4 linked regions of the Xenopus tropicalis genome follow. The protein of the gene in region 3 binds, or shares a complex with, the protein of the main gene of each other region. Links are inferred from orthologs where the notes say so. Each region holds a gene or a part of one and is shown on either strand. Other genes may lie near its edges.

Evidence for each region. Proteins that work in one complex are often made in the same cells at the same time.
Region 1: strip2 (region 3) and stk26 share a complex: the UniProt entries of both Homo sapiens proteins name them as parts of the core of STRIPAK complex. The link is inferred for Xenopus tropicalis from reciprocal best matches to the Homo sapiens genes STRIP2 and STK26.
Region 2: strip2 (region 3) and stk24 share a complex: the UniProt entries of both Homo sapiens proteins name them as parts of the core of STRIPAK complex. The link is inferred for Xenopus tropicalis from reciprocal best matches to the Homo sapiens genes STRIP2 and STK24.
Region 4: strip2 (region 3) and stk25 share a complex: the UniProt entries of both Homo sapiens proteins name them as parts of the core of STRIPAK complex. The link is inferred for Xenopus tropicalis from reciprocal best matches to the Homo sapiens genes STRIP2 and STK25.

Annotation. Positions count from the first base shown.
Region 1 is NC_030684.2:67,443,749-67,447,248, forward strand, and holds part of stk26 (serine/threonine-protein kinase 26), read left to right. Parts: intron 1-3,056; coding exon 3,057-3,165; intron 3,166-3,244; coding exon 3,245-3,402; intron 3,403-3,500. UniProt on the Homo sapiens protein: Serine/threonine-protein kinase that acts as a mediator of cell growth. Modulates apoptosis. In association with STK24 negatively regulates Golgi reorientation in polarized cell migration upon RHO activation.
Region 2 is NC_030678.2:121,393,328-121,396,827, forward strand, and holds part of stk24 (serine/threonine-protein kinase 24), read left to right. Parts: intron 1-1,819; coding exon 1,820-1,928; intron 1,929-3,500. UniProt on the Homo sapiens protein: Serine/threonine-protein kinase that acts on both serine and threonine residues and promotes apoptosis in response to stress stimuli and caspase activation.
Region 3 is NC_030679.2:87,158,367-87,161,866, reverse strand, and holds part of strip2 (striatin-interacting protein 2), read left to right. Parts: intron 1-208; coding exon 209-315; intron 316-1,598; coding exon 1,599-1,726; intron 1,727-2,667; coding exon 2,668-2,847; intron 2,848-3,500. UniProt on the Homo sapiens protein: Plays a role in the regulation of cell morphology and cytoskeletal organization. Required in the control of cell shape. Calmodulin-binding scaffolding protein which is the center of the striatin-interacting phosphatase and kinase (STRIPAK) complexes.
Region 4 is NC_030681.2:125,804,943-125,808,442, forward strand, and holds part of stk25 (serine/threonine-protein kinase 25), read left to right. Parts: intron 1-176; coding exon 177-322; intron 323-2,706; coding exon 2,707-2,809; intron 2,810-3,166; coding exon 3,167-3,238; intron 3,239-3,500. UniProt on the Homo sapiens protein: Oxidant stress-activated serine/threonine kinase that may play a role in the response to environmental stress.

The DNA.
Region 1 (3,500 bases), on a different chromosome or scaffold from region 3:
CTATTAATCCTTAGGGCCCCTAAACTTTGCAGAGTTAGTCACTAGTTAACTGCAGTTCCAGGTTAGAAAAAGGGGGTGGAGCTACCAACCGCCAATCAGATGTTGTTGACTTTCAGTACGGAAATTTAGGTTGCTGCCATTCAGACACTATTAAAACCAGGGTCCCCAAACTTTGCACAGTGGTTTTTACTGTATAACTGTGGTCCAAGGTTAGAGAAAGTGGGCGGAGCCCATTCAGTGACTTCATGTTTTTCAACCCAACATGAAGTTTGTTCTCAAACTTCCCTTTCTAGTTTGTAGGCTGTGTTTTTGCTTTACAGTGATAAGCTCCATTTAAATGGTTTTTACTTTCATTAAGAAGTATACTGAATATCCCCTTATGAGACAATCCACTTCTCACTTTCCCAAGTGACACTTGCATATACTTCTGTGGGAAATACAGTCCACATATTTCACTTGAGTCAGATTGCCTGCCCATGGAGCCAAATGGGTGTGTAAGTGCATCAATCCCTGGGGTCCATAACAGCAGTATTCTGCATTTTTACAGACGAAAAGAGCAAAAGACTTGGGGACTTAAAATCGTAGTTCACATTTAAGTTAACTTTTAGTGTCTTATTAAATTTCTTATTATTGGCAACTTTTGAATTGGTCTTCAATTTGTTTGTTTGGTTTTTTTTTTTTGGATTATTTTCCTCCTTTCTCTTGCAAGCTGTCTGATTGGGAGCATTGTCCCTGGCAGCCAAAAACCCATTGCCCTGTGAGGATTCAATTTATTGTTACTGTTTATTACTGATCTCTTTATTCATCTTCCAGTCTGTCATTTAAACCATTGCCTGGCTGCAGTAGTAAATTAAAGACTAGCTTCCATTTCTAAATGGTGCTGTTGTACAAAAAACTACTACTCGTTCCAGCAACAAACTTCAGCAGTAAATCCGCTGACTCTTCAAGTACAACAAAAATATATACTATTTTAAACCTTTAAAAACGTAAAAAAAAATGTGTACTAACTTGTACAATGCAATATACACTGTGTGTTTTTATGTATAGTTACATAGGGTTGGAAAAAGACCAGAGTCCATCAAGTACAACCCTTCCAAGTAAACCCAGCTCACACACACACACACACACACACACCTGTACTGACCTATTTATACACTCGTAAATAAACCATATATACAAACATCAATACTAACCGTAGATTTTAGTATCAAAATAGCCTTGGGTATTATACTTCTTCAAGAACTCATCCAGGCCCCTCTTTAAAGGCATTAACAGAATCTGCCATTACCACATCACTTGGACGGACATTCCCCCAACCTCACTGCCTTCACCATGAAAAACATCTACACTGCTTCAAATGAAAATCCCATTCCTCTAATCTAAAGGGGTGGCCTCTGGTGCGCTGATTGCTATTATGGCAAAAAAGAACACCCCCTATCTGCCAGTAATCATGTCCCTTTGCAAACAACCCCAACCTTAACAGTCTAACCTCATAGCTTAAATCTTTTATCCCCTTTACTAGTTTAGTTTCATGTCTCTGCATTCGCTCCAGCTCATTAATATCCTGGAGCCCAAAACTGCACTACATGCTCAAGGTAAGGTCTTACCAGATAGATGCCTATAAATAAGGCAAAATTATGTTTTCATCCTTTGAATCAATGCCCTTTTTTATGCAAGTATTTTATTTGCTTTAGTAGCCACAGAATGACACTACCTGGAATTAGACAACGTATTATCTACAAAAATTCCCAGATCCTTCTCAATTAAGGATACCCCCAACACACTACCATTTAGTGTATAACTAGCGTTTATATTATTTCTACCAAAGTGCATAAGATGCTGCCAAAATTCTTATTCACACTCTTATTATATCTCACCTGGACTACTGTAACGCTCTGCTAATTGGCCTTCACCTTCAGAGACTGTCCCCTCTCCAGTCCATAATGAATACTGCTGCCAGGCTCATACACCTATCCAAACATTTCTCCTCTGCCATACCACTGCCAATCCCTGCACTGGCTTCCCCTACCATCAAGGATAAAATTCAAACTAATGACTAGGACATTCAAAGCAGTTCATAACTCTGCCCCACCCTACATCTCTGAACTTATCTCTAGATAACAACCAACCTGTTTGTTACTCTCCTCTACTGACCTACTTCTCAACTCCTCCCTCACACTTGCATTTAAGACTTTGCAAGGGCTGCCCCCCTTCTCTGGAATTCGCTCCCACAAACTATCAGACTTACTCCCGATCTCTAAAAACGCATTTATTTAGTGAAGCTTACCCTCATTTAGTTTAACATAACCTCAGTGTGCTGCTACAAGCAACCTGTGCCACACCTCTCCCATTGCTTGATTCTGATCTTGCCCATTCCCACACCTTGTGTTTCAAACCTCTCTCCTTGTAGATTGTAAGCTCTTTTGGGCAGGGCCCTCTTCACCTCTTGTATCCGTTATTGGTTGCTTTATATTTTACTTTGTATGTCAAATGTATGAAACCTACTTATTGTACAGCGCTGCAGAATATGTTGGCGCTTAATAAGTCAATGTTGATATTAATAACTTTGCACACAATATGAACAGCATATGGAACAGGAGTTTGAAATCAGTAAATCACATTTATAAAGGCAGCTGTGCTGGCAAGACACATTGGCAAACCTTATGTACAGTTGCCAGTAAGCCCAATCAGCACTTTGATCCATACAGGCAGAATAATCGTCTCCTTACATTTCAGGTGTGTTGTGTGAATGTGATGGGGAAGCTACAGTGCAAGCTCCACTGAAGCTGAGACTAATTGAAATGATGACCTCTTCAACACTATTTTTATAAATTGAAATAGCCTCATATCATAAGCCAAAACTGGAAAAAAAAAAAAATCAATATAGCAGGGGTGCTGTTCTGGAACTTGTATCCTGGCCCAAGGTTGTAATATGCAGAACATATACACCTTATAATGATTAGCTGCAATTATTTTAATATCAGGGTAAGTTTAACAAACAAACAATATGCATCTTAAGTGTTTTTTATTTCTGCATTGTAATTTTCAACCTTTAGCTTCGTGTTGGTCCTTTTGATGAGTTCCAGATTGCTACCATGCTTAAAGAAATATTAAAAGGCCTTGACTATCTGCACTCTGAGAATAAAATTCACAGGGACATCAAAGGTATGGGAATGTTTGATTTTCCAGTCTGTTGGTTCCCGGTTGTTCCAGTCTGTTCTAAGTAGTGTATTCTATCTTCCAGCTGCCAATGTACTCCTGTCTGAGCAGGGGGATGTCAAGCTCGCAGACTTTGGTGTCGCAGGGCAGCTTACAGACACACAAATAAAAAGAAACACCTTTGTAGGGACACCATTTTGGATGGCTCCAGAGGTCATACAGCAGTCTGCTTATGATTCCAAGGTAAGCTTACTATAAACTTAGGACCAGCTAAAACATTTTCCAAAAATGACGTATTATGGTGTTGATGTTGCACATGATGTGGATTTCAAATTATTGGA
Region 2 (3,500 bases), on a different chromosome or scaffold from region 3:
AAGCTTGAATGAATCTGAAACTTTCGTCCTCGGCGCGACGGCTACGAAAAAGTCGCGACAATTCGCGCAAGTCGTAACGCTACGAAAAAGTCACGACAATTTACGAAAAAATCGCAAAATACCGATCCTTACGAAAAAACTGCATTGGGACGCTTTTTGGACTTTCGTGGATTAGTAAATGTGCCCCTAAAGGTGGCCATACACGTGGCGATCTGACGATGTTTCGTACGACCATCGGTCGCACGAAACATCGTAAGATCCGCCACACACCATTCAGGGCTGAATCGGCAGGTAAGGAGGTAGAAACAATAGGATTTCTACCTCCTTCTGCCGATTCAGCTCTGAAGGGAGAAATTTGGTCAGGCGCCTTCTACGGCGCCCGATCAAAATTTTCAAACTGGTCCGATCGGTGAGTTGTCCGATATCAGCAGCTTCCTGCGATATCGGTCGACTCGCCGACATGCCATACACGCACCGATTATCGGACGAAATGAGGTTTCGTACGATAATATCGGTGCGTGTATGGCCACCTTAAGGGCTCTGGCACACGGGGGAGATTAGTCGCCCGCGATAAAACTCCCTGTTCGCGGCGAGGCGATTTCCGGAAATCGCCGAAAAAGACTCGCCGCCGCCGCGTCTGCCATCCCGCCGGCGACTTACATGTTCGCCGGTGGGATGGCAGGGGTAGGCAACTCGGGGAGATTAGTCGCCCGCGAACAGGGAGTTAATCGCGGGCGACTAATCTCCCCCGTATGCCAGAGCCCTAAGTGTAGGGATGGGTTGTCGGCTTGTTCTTATCTGCAGGCTTACAGTCCGCCCTGTGTGACCTTTCCCTAAGATTGTCACACTTCCCCATTCAGCTGTGGGTTAGTATTCCAGATTAAAACCAACTTCTGTTTTGTGAATTATTCACCCCCCAATAATATCTCTACAGCCCCCCTTTTAATTACACTTTGTATTTGTGAACTGTATATATGAACTCCTGAACAGGGTAGTGCTTAAAGGTGATAGCACACATGGAGATTTGTCGTCTGTAGTTAAATCTTTGCTACCGCAGACGCCATGTCTACGATAAAAGACCTTCTATAGCATAACATTAAAGGGGACCTGTCACCCCAAGACATAACTCCAAATTATTTTTGTTACTTGAGCAAAATAAATGTTACTTATGCTATATAAATAATATAAATCTTGTTTCCTTCCGTCTTGGAATTACTCAATCAAAGCAAGCAGGTAGGCACGATTTTGTGGACACTGTTATGAAGGCAAACTTTGTATCATGTCAAAATCTTGTTTATGTGCCAGAATGGGGGACCTGATGCCCATGCCCATGCACTGGCTACACAATTAGATGAGGAGGAGGGAGGGGGAAAGTGAGATGTGCAGTGACATCTAGGAAGTGCTGAATGGAAAGCTAAAGTTATTGTCTGCCCCGCCTCTATGCCTAAGGCATAGAGGCGAGGCAAGCAATATATGATTGACAGCTGGGATTTTTGAATGCCTTTATAATGGGTTTGGATGTGTTAATATAAAAATGAATTTGGGTTTCATGTTTAATTTGAACAGGACTTTTATTATACAGCTTTTTATGTCTGGGTGACAGGTCCACTTTAAGATCATCGCACGTAAAACCTATTCCGCTCTGTGATCTGGAATAAATGTGGGAAAAAGCCAGGTTGCTGTGAGTAATTAGGTTTCACTTGCGGCGATCTAACAATGGGCGAGATCTTCTCGTGTGCCATCACCCTTAAGCACTACCCTAACAATCCCTCAGTAAGTTCCATCACCCTAACCAACATTTTCTCTTCCCTCCTGGCAGTTAGAACCTGGTCCTTTAGATGAAACACAGATTGCAACCATTTTACGGGAAATCTTAAAGGGACTTGACTACTTGCATTCAGAGAAGAAAATTCACAGGGATATTAAAGGTAGGTCATTCCTTTTTCGTTATTCTGTCTGTTGTTGGAACTCTGTCTTCATATTCCTCTTTGTATCAAAATAATAGAAGAATGGGGATTATATTCCTTCTGCAGGGTTTACCATTCCATGCAGGTGTTGCAAATGAAATATGGCCATACATGGGCTGACAAAAGCTGTTGACAGACAGAGTAGGCAGGCATTCAGCCCGTGTGGGTCCTTTTGAAGGGCCTGCCCAATCAAAAATCGGGTAGATGTTAATTGGGCAGGTTCGATTTTCCGTCAGGTTGAGGGTATCTGTTGGCATCTGGACTGCATAATGGCCATTATGATCTGGTCGATTGGCCCTCGGGATGGGCATACTGCGTCAGGGGAAAGAACCATTCATTTGGTGACCTGGCCAAATGAGTGAATCTTTTAACTTACTTGCTGATTCTGCCATATTAATAGAATTGCTTAGCAAATGAAATGGATAAATTGTCTTATGTTATATGGAGCCTGAACTGGGGATTCATTTGCATAGTATTTGAAGCACGTTTGAAAAGAGTTCAGTTGGTTTGATTGTTTATTTTGTATGTGTTTCGAATGATACAAGATTTTATTCTGCATAGATCCAGCTTGCAGCAAAAAATTTCTTTAATGGTTTTTATTTTTTTATTGCTTTTTTGTAGAACAAAAAAGTATTTAAAAAATCATAAATAATAAATAAATGAAGACAGTGCTGATGTTCACTTTTTACAAAGCCCCATCAGAGTGCTGGGAATGCAAAAGAAGAACTTTACCCATTATAATGAATTTTTTAAAATGCTTCCTTTATTAATTAAAATGAGGCGCTTACCCAGTTAGAGATCAGCGAGACCGCCAGAGGAAAAGAGAGAGCACAAAAGCTTTTCCTTGAGTGGTACTGCACATGCGCAAGCTCTCATCTTTCTTATGCAGATTAATCTGTTGGCTGCTGCAGCTAACAATAGGCCACACATGTACGGAAACGATTAACTTGCTTTTCAACTGAGAATACTCCTAACTCCCTGCTGCCAATGTTTGCGTGCAGGTGGTGGGTGAGAGGTTGGCGACCCCTTCATCCAGAGGGGCATCACATTGTTGATAAAATGGTAAAAACTATATAGAATAAAATTAATTTTTAAAAAAAAGAATTTTTTGTCTTGCATAGGTGTTTCAGAACCCTTTGAAATTCAGCCAGAAAGTCTGTTGGTCAGGATGTGTTTAAAGCTTAGGTTTTACATGCAGGTTTGTTGCAGCAACTTGGCCTTCTGCATAAACAAACTTTGCTGAGCATTATTATGCAGCTGCTACACTGACACAGTCTTGCTAGACCTTTAAGAATTTGTTCATATTGTGCACGGTTGATTTAAGAATTATGTACAGGACACTTACAGATCTATGAATATATAAATAAGCCTGAGTGTTTAACCCTAAATTTGTCCTGTTCTTTCATCATCAGAAATCATGGCAATCATAACTATACAAAGGAAGTGCCCAAAGCAGTGCAGCATTAACTCAGACGCATAAGTGTATTACACATTTCCGTATTGTTACCATAAATTGCAGTTGTGTTTGGCAGA
Region 3 (3,500 bases):
GTACTGTTTTATAATTATAGAGAAAAATAATTTTATAAAATTAAATGGAGTCTATGGGAGATGGCCTTTCCATAATTCAGAACTTTCTGGATAACAGGTTTCCGGATAAGGGATCCCATACCTGTACATACAATAATAAAGAAATATTTTTTAACTTAAAATTTGGGGGTGATTAGATATTTTTTAGTTGTTTTTTGTCCCCATACAGGGTTCTACTTAGTGTTATGTATCTGATGGTTGAAAATATTCGTCAAGAATCAGAGAATGATGACCCAGAATGGAAAATTCTACGTGCTAATTTCCGTGAAGAACTTGGTGAGGAGAGACTGTATGGATACCACTAAAACAGGCTTCATCAGTGTTTTTGCTTAAAGTGGTGACATAATTGGTGGCTTAGGACAAATATTTCCCTTTCATTTAATCTGTTAAAGGAGAAGGAAAGGTAAAAACTAAGTAAGCTTTATCAGAAAGGTCTATGTAAATACAGCCATAAGCGCTCACAGAAACGCTGCACTGAGCCCACTGTTAAAAGAAACAGGATTTCTTCTCTCTTTGTTTTCCTGTGCCAGAGTCTGTGCAGCTCTCTCCAGCTCCCCCCTCCCTCAAGAATGCTAAGAACGCCCTCCCCCCCCTTAGGGCCATTCAGCAGGAAGCTTCCTCATAGTCTTACAAACTGCGCATGTACAGGGGTCTTGGTCTTGGTGCAGGAGCCTGGCATTATGGGAATTTTCTTTACAGAGCTCAGCATTTTTTTTTCCTATGAGGCTTCTGATCATCTGAACAGGAGAAATATGGGGAGACTTAAGGGCACCACTGAGAGAACTGAAGGTATGTCTGCATCTTGAGATTAACTCTTTATTAGCCTTTCCTTCTCCTTTAATGGCATTAATGACTGGATCAGTGTGACTTGGCTATTGATGATCATGCACTAAACAACCATCTGGAAACTGGTATGTTTTAATAGGTTTTAATTGGGCCCTACACTTTAAAAGAAAAGGAAAGCTTTATCAGAAAGGACTATGTAAATACAGCCATAAGCACCCACAGAAAAACTGCAGTCAAAAGAAACAGAGTTTTTCTTTTCTTCTTCTGTGTACACATGTCTTTTAGTGTTAGACTTCCTTCTCTCAGAAAAATTCTTCAGGTCACAGGCACGAGCCTGCTCAGGTTTCTCCTGTCTCCCTCTCTCCAGAGATGTATTTAGGTCCGGTGCCTAGGGCTTATGGTGATATAGGGGCATAAGAAAGCATATTAGCATTTTCTGTCCTGTTAGAGAAAACGCCACATGTGAAATAGCCCTAAATAATCAGATCAGATTGTTAAGGTTTAATGGCCTTTTATCACAACACAGAAATAGTTTAGCAATATTATCCTTCAAAAATAAAATAACATTTACTGTTTGCATGATTATTCTATCCTGTGTAGTGTCAAAATATTGGACCAAATACAATTTTATGTTCCTAATCAGTGGAGAATTGTGCTTAATGTTTTTTTATTGGTTCTTGATACAATTTCAAATATTTTTAAAATTAATATTATATATGATAGAAAATAGTATTTATGGAGCATTTCATAATACACGTTGTCTTTCTTTGTAGCCTTCCCTGTGCATCCTGAGGAGCCATTTGCTCATCTCCTCTTTGCAATGGTGACCAAATTCTGCAGTGGTCATTGTCCCCACTTTCCCATGAAAAAAGTTCTCTTGCTGCTCTGGAAAGTTCTGTTGGTATGGTCCCAAATAATTTATTTAAATGTATTAATGACGAAATCCTATGCTACATATATTATTTCTCAGTTCTCTCATCTCATAGAAAAAAGAGTGAACAGAGAAATATATTTCTATTTTAAATGTTATAATGTTAAATATTATAGAATTACGTAAAATAGCTATTCTTTCCTAGAGACACCTAAAAGCCCCGCTTAAAGGATTTGGGTACAAACACATTTGCTGTCCTACATATTCTAGGAATTGGTGAATGAATGATACATCAATATTTTCCCTTATCTGGGACCATGGCCTAGGTTTGAACCTTCAAGTGGGGCTTGAACTGAAACACTTTGACAACCATTGTATTAGAAAAACCTTGTAATTCAATTTCAGATTTCTTAACAAACTTCAGTGTTGGTTTTCTTATTGAGCTGAATCAAGCACTATCTCATAAAACCTAACATAATCTTAAATATTGCATAAGTGCAGTATCAGACATAGAAATTTGTTGCGTATGGGAAATCACCTGTGGAAGAAGGCATTTAAGAAGGCATTTTACATGTGGTAATTCTTATTCTTCTGGACTGAAAGCTAGTTTCAATCCTATTTTCATGGATTAGAAGGAGTGATCTCCCGTGGGTTACAAAGCACTATGTCTGACATTGCCCTTTAAATATTAGCAAGTACCAAACACTTAATATGGGAAAACAAAAACTATATATTAAATATGTTCATGTATGGGTATATATGGGATATATTTTGAATGTCAAATTTATGCATCCCAATAACTGGGATGGAATTCAAAATAGGTGGCATATCAGCAACAGAGAGACCCAAACAGCATCTTACATGTATCTTATGGCATCTTACAGCAGCCCCACTGCCCCCTGTATGTGCAAAAGTTTTGCTTTAGAACCGTGCTGCTTATGCCACCCTGCTAACATTTTATTCCAATTAAGTTTACATTAGGTGGTTTCCCTGAGCTTCAGAGCATGAAGGAGAAAAAAAGATCAGAACTTGGCTTGCCACCCTTACTGGAGGACAGCATACAGGTGATGAAGAACATGAAGGCTATCTCCCCTCCTACTTATGGCATTGAGCTAGGAGAGCAGCAGAAACGTGGGCGCAGAAGTCGCAGGGTTAGTCTTTTTTCCTTGATATGCTCATACATTTTTTTAAAGTGATTTCATATCTTCTTGGCAATATGTTCTGCTTCTGCAGCCTCAGAATATGCCATTATTCACTAATCAGGGCTGAGTGTTAGAAATATAACAGCCCATCAAGAACATAGGCTTAGCAACTACCTTAGTCATTTTAAACCCTCATGGACTTCAGTTGTGCAGTCTCAAACAGCTGATTGAACTTGGCTTTGCCAAATATACATTAGTTGTGCTAATTATACTATAAAATGTGATATTTTACCCTATTGGGTAGTTTAGTGCTCTGTTTTTTTTTTTTTCTGTCAACAACAAGGTTGTTTGAACATACCTGTAACACTTCAACAACCCAATGATCACTGCATATGATTCATGGAATAATTTTTTACCAGGTTTTTAAAACCCCTTGAATTAACCTCTTTCTAAGCCATTTATTGCCATTCACTTGATCTTATAAACTGGTTTCAATATTGTATTGTATCATGTATAATTACCATGTCAGATTATGGTTATTAGAGCTAATAGTGAAAATAAAGGGGCAAGTGCTATGGACTAGCATTTGTGACTATTGCCTTCTTACTGATTTTCCATTAATGTTTATAAATGTTCTGGCTTTGTCAGCCATTTATTTAAAC
Region 4 (3,500 bases), on a different chromosome or scaffold from region 3:
ACATGCACACTTAGCACACCCATGTAGCACTACACTAAGGCACACAGCAGATCATTCCTGTGGCATTCCATAAATGGGAATTCATGCAAATAGCTTTACAAGGTGCCTGCCTGTTTGTGTGGATTGTGGTGCTGCAGCCATCCTTGCTTTCTGACCACAAGTATTTGCACTCTTAGAGGCCTACAGCACGTGAGCTGCTGAAGCACCGCTTCATACTAAGATACACTAAGAAAACATCCTTCCTTGTAGAACTGGTAGAAAGACACAAGCGCTGGAAATCCCAGGGCCACCGAGAAGATTCTAGCTCAGATGAGTCTGACATGTAAGTATATTTATGGCATCTGTCTGAAGCAGAAAAGTCCTTTGGCATTATTTATGGAAACCATGCAGCCAAGACACTGGCGCCGAAACAGAAAGTAGGTAACTAGTCATTTACTGGTGGACAACATACAAGATTTCAGGGGCCTTACATGTTGGCCCTAACTACTCAAATCACTTTTTATATTATTACTTGAGCAGTACAATAGTTTTTCATAAAGGAAAGAACCCTTTATTTAACCCCCCCACCCCTTTTCCATTAACTTTTTTTTAGGTTATAAAAGCACACACCCTATCATTATACCTGTCCCTGTGCTTCCATTATTAAGTGCAGCTTTTTAAGGCAATGACACATGGAGTTACTTGTAGCTGGGTACAAGTACGGTACCTCCTTGTGTTGTAGCCCTTAGGGTGAAGAGACACAGAGTGTAGCAGCTACTAACAAGTAGTTACTATTGATAACTGTCTCTACGTGTGTTTTACCAAAGGCAATTCTAAGTATTGTCTATGGCAGGGTATTTCTGGCATTTAGTAGCTGTGACAAGTAGCTGCTACTAAGTAGCTCAGTGTGTCTTCACCCTTAGGGTAGGAACCCACAGAAGGAACAAGTTAGTCGCCCTCAATTGATTGCTGCTATCGTAAGCGAGTAACTGCTCTGAAAAGGCTTTCCAGTGGCAACAATAGATATTGCCGGTGTAAAGCCCTTTGCATCGCTTCTTTTTCCGTCACGCGAAGTTGCCTGCATGAGGAAACTTTGTGCGACTTCGGATTACCGAAGTGATGCAAAGGGCTTTCCACCAGCGACTTCTATTGTTGCCACTGGAAGCCCTTTTTGGATTTGGTTCTTACCCTTAGAAGCCGAGTGTAATGGACTGTAGGGTGGTTTGGTCACAGCAAATACAAATTGAAGCCTCATGCTGTAAGCAAAATGCAATTTCTGATAAGCGTGATACAAAAGACCAGTGTACTCAGTTACTGGATAGACTGTGTATAAAACCTTTTGATAAAGTGGGGCAAATAAACATCTGAAGAAAGATAAATGATATAAACCCAAATTAAAATCAATATTTACACAAACTTCCAAGCTATCATTATGTCATTTCTGCGTGGTGTTATTCTGTTTAGAGAACCTTTTAGTTCCAATTTCTGTACTGTAAATAAACTGTATCAGCCACAAGACTGGGGCAGGAATGACGCTGTTGCCTTTATCTGGGAATTGCTAGCTATAAGCACAAGGCTGATTCTCAGCATGATCCTGGTGCCTGCACCTGAGCTAATACATGTATTATTCTTATTGGCAAACACATGCTTTAGGGCTCTGGCACACGGGGAGATTAGTCGCCCGCGACAAATCTCCCTGTTCGCGGGCGACTAATCTCCCCGAAATGCCATCCCACCGGCGAAAATGTAAATCTCTGCCAGAGCCCTTATAGTGACTTGCTGAAGATTTCACTGGGATGCACAGTTGTGAGCACAGTATAAAGGGCTTGTGAAGCACGAAATGTAGTGTAACAAAGTGCACCTTCGCAGTTTAACCCTGCAGTGACCTGTCTCGCTACTACTACATTAAGCTAATGATTACTTACATGTTTGACAGAGCATGAGGGCATTGAATTGAGGACTGCCTGGTCTCAAGGTTCTGGCAAGCTACAATTACGCAGTTGTGAGCACAGTAATGGAGGCCCCACAATTTGCCAGTCTCATGTAAGCTGATAGTGTGCATAGAGGCTGCCTAATAGCCAATCTTAGCCCTTATTTGGCACCTCCATGAACTTTCATGATGCTTGTGTTGCTCTCCAACCTTTTTTACATTTGACTGTGGCTCACGAGTAAGAAAGGTTGGGGACCCCTGGCATAAAGGTGGCCCAAATATGGTTGATCCAATCACCCCCTTGGCTCATGACTGGTTCTCATGGGGTGTCAGAGACCTGCATCCATGGCCCAATTCAGTATTCTGCTGAAATTATTTTATAGCCTGCCTAAGACTGGTCAACATATTCCTAGACCTTCAGTGAGCCACGTGCATAAGGGTAGTATGCATTGCTGGATTTCTAATCCGGGCACCCAAGGCCGCCCCTGTTCGCCCCCCCCCGCAAGTGCACATGTGCAAACAGCAGCACCTCCCCCCGCAAGTGCACACGCTCACATGCACAGAAGTCTACACTTGCATACAGAGCAGTGGGAGAGCTCCTCATTGCTTCGTATGGTAGCAAAATTTCAAGATTTTGACGCAGCGGGGCGGAATGCTGCACTAGGCCCGGGCCTTTGTGGCCTCTCCACAAATCCGGGCCTGGTAGTATTTAAAACACTGATGAGAAACCAGGTTAGAAAGTTTAATTTGCTAGGCTGTTGGGCTTTCAGCTTCAGTCATATGTCTGTGTGTTTCAGGGACAATGAAGATGAGCGGAATCAGAACCAAATTCCCATCTGGTCATTTCCAGAAACCATCTGTGCCAAGTCCATGAGCCGAATGCAGTGGGGCTGTCAGAAGGTATCAGTGTAATGACATCCATATTAGAGGTGTCTGGTTGTGTTCAGCCACTTATAATTACTAGCAGCCACTTTCACTTTACTTCTGATACTCAGGAATGAGCATGGAGAGGGCACAGATATTCACTTGCTATACTCTGCCCTGTGTTTTATAAGCTACCTGCCTCATTTCCTTTTTACTGCTTGTGCACAGTTACTTCCTGCTGATCATGTGACTTAGCTTAAAAGAGGAGAAAACTATAGTTTATTGCAAATTGTATTGCTAAGGCTATGAGAGCTATACTAAACAGAGAGAAATATAATCTCGCAAGTATTCCATGTCTTTGCTTACACTTTTATTATGTTGGTTTGTCTGCAGTCAGCAGAAGTCATTCATCGCCTGCCACGGTCACACTGTCTATCAGCCTTAGTAACACCAGTTTTCCAAGAGGTGACTACTTTTTTAATATATTTTTTGTGTTTTCACAGTTTAGATTTGTGGGGAGAGGTGGAAGGGGGATAGGTTGGTTAAAGGGCATCCATCACCCCAACATTATTTCCCCCACCAGAGATGCAGAGTAATAGAGCCCGCACTCCGGTTAGAGTATTTTTAAAAAAATACCCCCTGCCAGTACTAGGCCGCCTGCATCAGGAGGGAGCTTCCGGTGGGAATGGCCATATTGTTTGGCACACACGTGCATAATGAGCGAATC